2 linked regions of the Rattus norvegicus genome follow. The protein of the gene in region 2 purifies or fractionates together with the protein of the main gene of each other region. This does not show direct contact. Links are inferred from orthologs where the notes say so. Each region holds a gene or a part of one and is shown on either strand. Other genes may lie near its edges.

Region 1 (4,006 bases), on a different chromosome or scaffold from region 2:
GCACAAAGGAGACAGAACAAAAAACAAACCCTCGCCTGGCATGGTGGCGCAGGCCTTTCATCCTAGTCCGTGGGAGGCAGATGCAGGAGGATCTCCCAGTTCCGGGCCAGCCTGGTCTACAGAGTGAATTCCAGGGCAGCCACAGATACATAGTGAGACCCTGTCTCCAAAAAAAAAAAAAAAAAAAAAAGAGCCAGCAAATCCTTATCCTTGGGCAGTTCAACGAAAGTCCCTGATAGAGGGCTTTTTAATAACACTTGATCACCCTCACACCCTCACCCACTGTTATCCTCTCTGCTCCGCACCGGGACTTGTCACGGGGCCGATGTGAAGTTAGAAGTACGCTACGTCTCAGCCTGCTTCAGCTCAGGCTGCTATGTGACGGTGTATATGCAGGGCAGATTATTATCTAGAACAGGATTTCTCAAACTCAGTGGGTAGATGAGGGATCCTGCTGGTACATCTCTGAGAGCCGTTGGGCCACGAGGAGGGGACACACCAACGACAACTCAGCGCCCTTGCCCTTCCCTACGTTCCGAGCCGTTCGTGGGCGCACTCACAGTGTCATGCGCACACTCCACTTCACCTCCACGGCCTCCAGCTGACCCCAGAAGAAGCGATCGTTAAACTGCAGGAAGAGCGCCTGCAGGTCCGGGGTGGGGTCCACCAGCTCCCAGGACGCGTCCACCAACGATAGGGGCTCCCGCGCCGCCGCGCGCCGCGCCGCCTGCACGTCCCACTCCTCCTGCAGCCGCAGCGCGACCACCAGATCCTCGTCCATCCCGATACTCTCACTTCAGCCGCTCCCAAGACGCCGGTCGGGCTCGTGAGGCGTACGGATCTCGCGAGACCTCCCGGCCCCGCTGTCAGGGCGCGCGGGCTCGCCTCGAACGCCTAACCGAAGGTGGCTCGGCTCTGCCCCGCGGACACAGACTTAGGAACGCTGGGCTCGGGGTAGGGACGGCTTCAGGAAGCCAGTTGTCTCCAGACCGCCGCCGAGGTCCAGCGCCTCACGTCAAGTCTGGTCCGTGCCCGACCCTCCTCTGACTTCCGTACTGGCCCGTCCGCGCACGCGCCTTAAGACGCTGCCGTTTCCGCGCAGGCGCGTCGTCGACACTCCGCCCCGGGCGCAGGCGCAGTGTGAGAGTCTCGACTTTGGCACAGGCGCAATGCAGCGCTCGGCCCCGGCGCAGGCGTTTGGGTGTTGCTCCCGCCCCGCTTCCTCTACCGCTTCTCCACCGGGCTCGGGTGGGGCCGGGAGGCGGCGAGTGACAGCCACTGCGGGCCGCGGGAGCAGGGCGGGTGGCAGCCATGTCGGACAGCGGGGCGAGCCGCCTGCGGAGGCAGCTGGAGTCGGGGGGCTTCGAGGCGCGGCTGTACGTGAAGCAACTGTCGCAGCAGTCGGACGGCGACCGCGACCTGCAGGAGCACCGACAGCGGGTGCAGGCGCTGGCGGAGGAGACGGCGCAGAACCTGAAGCGCAACGTCTACCAGAACTACCGGCAGTTCATCGAGACGGCGCGCGAGATCTCCTACCTGGAGAGCGAGATGTACCAGCTGAGCCACCTGCTGACGGAGCAGAAGAGCAGTCTGGAGAGCATCCCGCTGGCACTGCTGCCCGCCGCTGCCGCGGGCGCATCCACGGGTGAGGACACGGCGGGCGCGGGACCGCGGGAGCGCGGGGCGGCCCAGGCGGGCTTTCTTCCGGGGCCGGCCGGAGTCCCTCGCGAGGGCCCCGGGACGGGAGAGGAGGGCAAGCAGCGAACGCTCACCACGCTGCTGGAGAAGGTGGAGGGCTGCAGGGACCTGCTGGAGACACCAGGTCAGTACCTTGTGTACAACGGGGACCTGGTGGAATACGAGGCAGACCATATGGCCCAGCTGCAGCGAGTGCATGGCTTCCTCATGAACGACTGTCTGCTGGTGGCCACTTGGCTACCACAACGGCGAGGCATGTACCGCTACAACGCACTCTACCCACTGGACCGCCTGGCTGTGGTCAACGTCAAAGACAATCCACCTATGAAAGACATGTTCAAGCTGCTCATGTTCCCTGAGAGCCGAATCTTTCAAGCGGAAAATGCCAAGATTAAACGCGAGTGGCTGGAAGTGCTGGAGGAAACCAAGAGGGCGCTCAGCGACAAGAGGAGACGGGAGCAGGAGGAGGCAGCCGCCTTGCGTGCGCCACCACCGGTCACTTCCAAGGGCAGCAACCCGTTTGAGGATGAGGCCGAGGAGGAACTGGCCACCCCGGAGGCAGAGGAGGAAAAGGTTGACCTTTCCATGGAGTGGATCCAGGAGTTGCCGGAAGACCTGGATGTTTGTATTGCGCAGAGGGACTTTGAGGGTGCCGTGGACTTGCTGGACAAATTAAATCACTATCTTGAAGATAAGCCCAGCCCACCTTCTGTGAAAGAGCTGAGGGCCAAAGTGGATGAACGAGTGCGACAGCTCACCGAGGTGCTTGTGTTTGAGCTCTCCCCGGATCGCTCTCTGAGAGGTGGCCCTAAGGCTACTCGAAGGGCAGTGTCTCAACTGATCCGTCTCGGCCAGTGCACTAAGGCTTGTGAGCTGTTTCTGAGGAACAGGGCGGCAGCTGTGCATACTGCCATCCGCCAGCTTCGAATTGAGGGCGCCACTCTGCTCTATATTCACAAGCTGTGCCATGTCTTCTTTACCAGCCTCCTAGAGACTGCACGGGAGTTTGAGACAGACTTTGCAGGCACGGACAGTGGCTGCTACTCTGCCTTTGTGGTCTGGGCAAGGTCTGCCATGGGCATGTTCGTGGATGCTTTCAGCAAGCAGGTTTTTGACAGCAAGGAGAGCCTGTCCACTGCTGCCGAGTGTGTGAAGGTAGCCAAGGAGCACTGCCAGCAGCTGGGAGAGATTGGGCTGGATCTCACCTTCATCATCCATGCCCTCCTGGTGAAGGACATCCAGGGGGCCTTGCTCAGTTACAAGGAGATTATCATTGAAGCCACCAAGCACCGAAACTCGGAGGAGATGTGGCGTCGGATGAACCTGATGACTCCTGAGGCCCTGGGCAAGCTCAAGGAGGAGATGAGAAGTTGCGGGGTCAGTAACTTTGAGCAGTATACGGGGGATGACTGCTGGGTGAACCTGAGCTACACTGTGGTAGCCTTCACCAAGCAGACCATGGGCTTCCTGGAGGAGGCACTGAAACTGTACTTCCCAGAGCTACACATGGTGCTCCTGGAGAGTCTGGTGGAAGTCATACTGGTTGCTGTGCAGCATGTGGACTACAGCCTGCGCTGTGAGCAGGACCCAGAGAAGAAGACTTTCATCCGGCAGAACGCATCCTTCCTTTACGACACTGTCCTCCCAGTGGTGGAGAGGAGGTTTGAGGAAGGTGTGGGGAAGCCTGCCAAGCAGCTGCAGGACCTTCGGAATGCATCGAGACTCCTGCGGGTGAATCCTGAGAGCACCACGTCTGTGGTCTGAGGCTCTGGTTCGATGCTGTGTGTGCGTCTGTCTGTCTGTCTGTCTGTCTGTCTGTATGTATGTATGTATGTCTGTACACACACATGTACTACAGATGCATTGTTTGTATTCACATTACACAATATCAACACATTCCTCAGACACAAACAGCATATAAAAGTGCCCTCTTAAAAATGCAGTCAAAAGAAGAAAGATAATGTGTTAAGTGCTCCCTCCCACATAGAGGGATTATTAGAGCACATACTGTGCTTTTTTTTTTTTTTAAACTCTTTAAGGAGTGTATGGTCACAGCAGCATTTCAGGTCACTCTTTAACCTGAAACACACTTGTCACAGTAGCACATCCTGGAACATTGCACTTCTGTGCTGCCTAGAAAAATATGCAAGTCCACAGGGTTTAAGTTGTGAAGCATTCCAGTTCAACAAAATGGCTTCTGAACGGTCATTGCTGTGTAGCGCCCCTGTGTCATGTACTCAAGAAGCAAGCCAAATTGGGAAGAAATGAGTTGGCTTGGGATAAATTTGAGTAAGTGGGCCCCAGACTC
Region 2 (3,560 bases):
GGCAGGACACTTGGGGCTCTCCTCTAGCCTCTGTGTGAACAGACATGGCCGCATACATACTCTGCATACACCACACGCTCGCACTCTACATCATACACACATATACATATATCAAAGCAGAATGACACAAAGCCCCCTGAGTCAGGAAACTGGCCTCTTCTTTTCCTGGCCACCCTGGCTCTTACAAATAGAAAGAAGCAGACAGGTTGCCTACATAGTTTGTGTATTAGCAGAACACAGAGAGTGTAGCCATGTGCAGCCTGTGCTTGACAGAGTCTCCACTGCGATCTAAGCAGACGATTAAATGGCTGTGGGTTTTCTGTTTGTTTGTTGAGGCAGGGTTTCTCTGTATAGCCCTGGCTATCCTGGAACTCGCTCTGTAGACCAAGCGGGAGTGCTGGGATTAAAGGTGTGCACCACCACCTCCTGTCAATGGCTGTGTTTTTAAAAAGATTCTGGATTTGTCTAAAATTAAACATAGGCTAGACTTGGCAGCACATGCCTGTAATCATAGCCCTTAGGAAGCAAAAATCAGGAGGACCACAGGTTTGAGACCAGGTAGGCTACCTAGTGAAATCCTATCTCAAAACTGCTACCTACCACCTAACTAAACGGATGAAAGTGAAAAAGTAAAACGTATAAAAATGATGTAGAAATAGAACCATAGAGTTCTCATACAGTTATTCACATTCACTTGTAAAATCATCTTACATTTTTTAACCTTTATAAGAGACTAGAATGTTGTTTTCTAAAAAGACAAATCTCAAATGCAGTATCAACTTTCTCTCTTTACAGCAATCCTTCCCAAAGAAGTTTCCCATGTCCCAGTCAGTGCCTCTTATTTATATTCAAGTTAAAGAATTTATTTATGCCAGTCTTAAATTCTCAGAGTCACTACACCGAAGGTAAGCTTACTCACATGAAATCTGCTTTTTAGGAGACATTGACACTTTATTTCTAGACCCTGACCCTTCAGTGGACTGTCGTGGACTGTCGTCTCACTGGAGTCGGGCTAACTATGTCTCGTCTTTAACTTCTGGTTAAATTAGTGTTGAGACTCGTATGCTCGTATGCTATATATGATTTGGTTCTTTTTTTTTTTTTTTTCGGAGCTGGGGACCAAACCCAGGGCCTTGCGCTTCCTAGGCAAGCGCTCTAACCACTGAGCTAAATCCCTAACCCCGCTATATATGATTTGATAGGAAGGGTCTTCGCCCCAGCGTCTAGATTTAACAGTAATAAATATTTCGCCATATATTCTTTCCCTATTTATTATTGTTAGTGGTATTTTATCCCGTGGCTAAGGATGTTTTGCCTACACGTATGTCTTTGCATTATGTGTGTGCCTGGTGCCTATGAAGTCCAGAAGAGGACACTGGGTCCCGTGGAGCTAGAGTTAATGCAGCTGTGAGCCACCATGTGGGTGCTGGGAATTGAACTTGAGTCCCCTGGAAGAGCAAACATTGATCTTGACCACTGACCCATCGCCTTGGCACCTTTGTCCATTATGTTTTATTAAGACATTCGAAAGAAAATTTCAGAAGTCATGACCTTTAACCTTAACTGTGCAGCACTCACTCCACACTGTGCTCCACACGGTGCTACCAGTTACTTAAAACCACAGCGCTAAGTCTGAAACATTAATGGCTTTAATATTGTGTGCCTTGGTAATTTGAATGTTTTTACAAATACTTATGTCTAAGCTAAATGTTGGTTCTTTTTTTTTTTTTTTTTTGAGCTGGGGACCGAACCCAGGGCTTTGCGCTTCCTAGGTAAGCGCTCTACCACTGAGCTAAATCCCCAGCCCCTAAATGTTGGTTCTTAAAATACAGAAATTCACATTCAATTAACATACTGTTAAATTTGGAGAAAGTATAGAAATTTAACGTTTCGGAATGACCTTTATATGAAGGCTGTTAACATTTTACCGTTGTTTAAGGCAGGAGTTCTAATGGGGTAATTTTGGTTTTCTTTGCTGCCCACTGTCCCCTACAATTGGCAGTGCCTAGAGACTTGGTTATCCCAGCTGTGGGTAGGAGTTCTCCCTGGAATGAGCAGGTAAGGACCAGAGGTGCTGCAGAATGTAGCGCACAGCACATGCTCTGGCATTCATGTGGCATCATATGCCCAGGCAAGCACTTCACCCTGAGTGCACCCCTAGGCTGTCGCCTTATTTTAAAAGTGACTTTTAGCTATGACTGTGTATAAAGTACTTCACAAAGTGACTATTCCACAATGGAATTATAATAGTGCTTTGTATAATGAACCTCATTTTTTTTTGTCTCAATTGACTTGATAATTTAAATTGTCATAAGTGAACATTCTGTTTTATGGGAAATGATCCCCCTTAAAATGAAATTGAAGTTTGTAGCTTAATGAGTTACTGTCATTCATAAAGAATAAACCAGAGGGACACATGATTTATATATGATGTAAAAGATAGGACAGAAAATTACTTTAGTGAGATACATTACATTATAGAGAGTGTATGACTGATTTCACTCTTAGAAAGCTTTATCCATGTGGATGTTTGTTTTTAGCTCTACAGAAATAGACGATATGCTTAGGAAGTCAACAAATCTGCTGCTGACCAGGATTCTGAGTAGCTGCTTACTGAACCTCATTAGAAAACCTCACATAGGTTTGACAGAGGTAAGAAGAAATAATGACCCGATGTTTTGCTGTGAAAGAATTGGGGCTGGAGAGATGGCTCAGAGGTGGCACACACGGCTTTTGCAGGAGGCCTGGGTTAGACTTCAGCACACACACAGCAGCTCAGAACCATCTGTAGCCAGTTTCAGGGTATCTGATAACTCCTTCTGGCTTCTGTGGGCCCCAGGCACACTACATATGTCATGCACAGGCACACATGCAGAGAAAACACCCATACACATAAAATAACAAAAAATTATAAATTGCTGTAAAATATTCTGTAGAGTAGCTTTGCACTTACAGTTTATTAAGGTAAAAAGACTTTCAAAAAGTAAAAGCATCAATCCAAGAACTGAGAGAGAGGAGCTAGGGGGATGGCTGGATGGTTAAGAGCACTGCTGTCCTTGCAGAAGACCCGGTTCACTTCCAGGCACTGAAATGGCAGCTAACCATATCCGTAGCTCCAGATCCAGGTGATGTGACCCCCTTTTCTGGCCTAATGTGCACGGTGTACAAGCCTACATGCAAATAAGACACATATATTTTTAAAAAATCAAGAAACGTGAGGGAAAAGCTTCCCTGGGGCATAGTAGACAGCTGGAGGTTTGAAGGGCGTAGACCTCAGACTTCACAGACAGTTGGGATCCTCAATTTGTACTTGTTACGTGTATGAGACCCACAGTTGCCATGGAAGGTCATTTCAAAATAATTGGCTGTGGACTCATAAAATGTAAATATTTTTAAGACAACATAAATGCCCGCAAGCAGTATTTAGGGCAGAGTTTTGAAATCAGTTGTATCTCGTCTTGCTGGAATTATGCAGAAGTAACAGAGGCAGGCTGGAAGTAATGACGGAGTTTTTTAGAATCAGGCGGTCCTGTACCGGTGTGACCTGTATTTACTGTGGC

What was found. The genes of interacting proteins can lie anywhere in the genome.
Region 1: the proteins of Exoc6 (region 2) and Exoc8 purify together in Homo sapiens (affinity purification with mass spectrometry; 4 studies listed by BioGRID and IntAct, counting the BioPlex papers as one, with this or other methods). This does not show direct contact. The link is inferred for Rattus norvegicus from reciprocal best matches to the Homo sapiens genes EXOC6 and EXOC8.

The regions. Positions count from the first base shown.
Region 1 is NC_086037.1:69,752,028-69,756,033, reverse strand, and holds Exoc8 (exocyst complex component 8), read left to right. Parts: upstream 1-1,157; 5' UTR 1,158-1,311; coding exon 1,312-3,462; 3' UTR 3,463-3,647; downstream 3,648-4,006. Other genes in the region: DNA-dependent metalloprotease SPRTN, read right to left, coding at 561-781. UniProt on the Homo sapiens protein: Component of the exocyst complex involved in the docking of exocytic vesicles with fusion sites on the plasma membrane.
Region 2 is NC_086019.1:244,785,038-244,788,597, forward strand, and holds part of Exoc6 (exocyst complex component 6), read left to right. Parts: intron 1-795; coding exon 796-905; intron 906-2,540; coding exon 2,541-2,652; intron 2,653-3,560. UniProt on the Homo sapiens protein: Component of the exocyst complex involved in the docking of exocytic vesicles with fusion sites on the plasma membrane.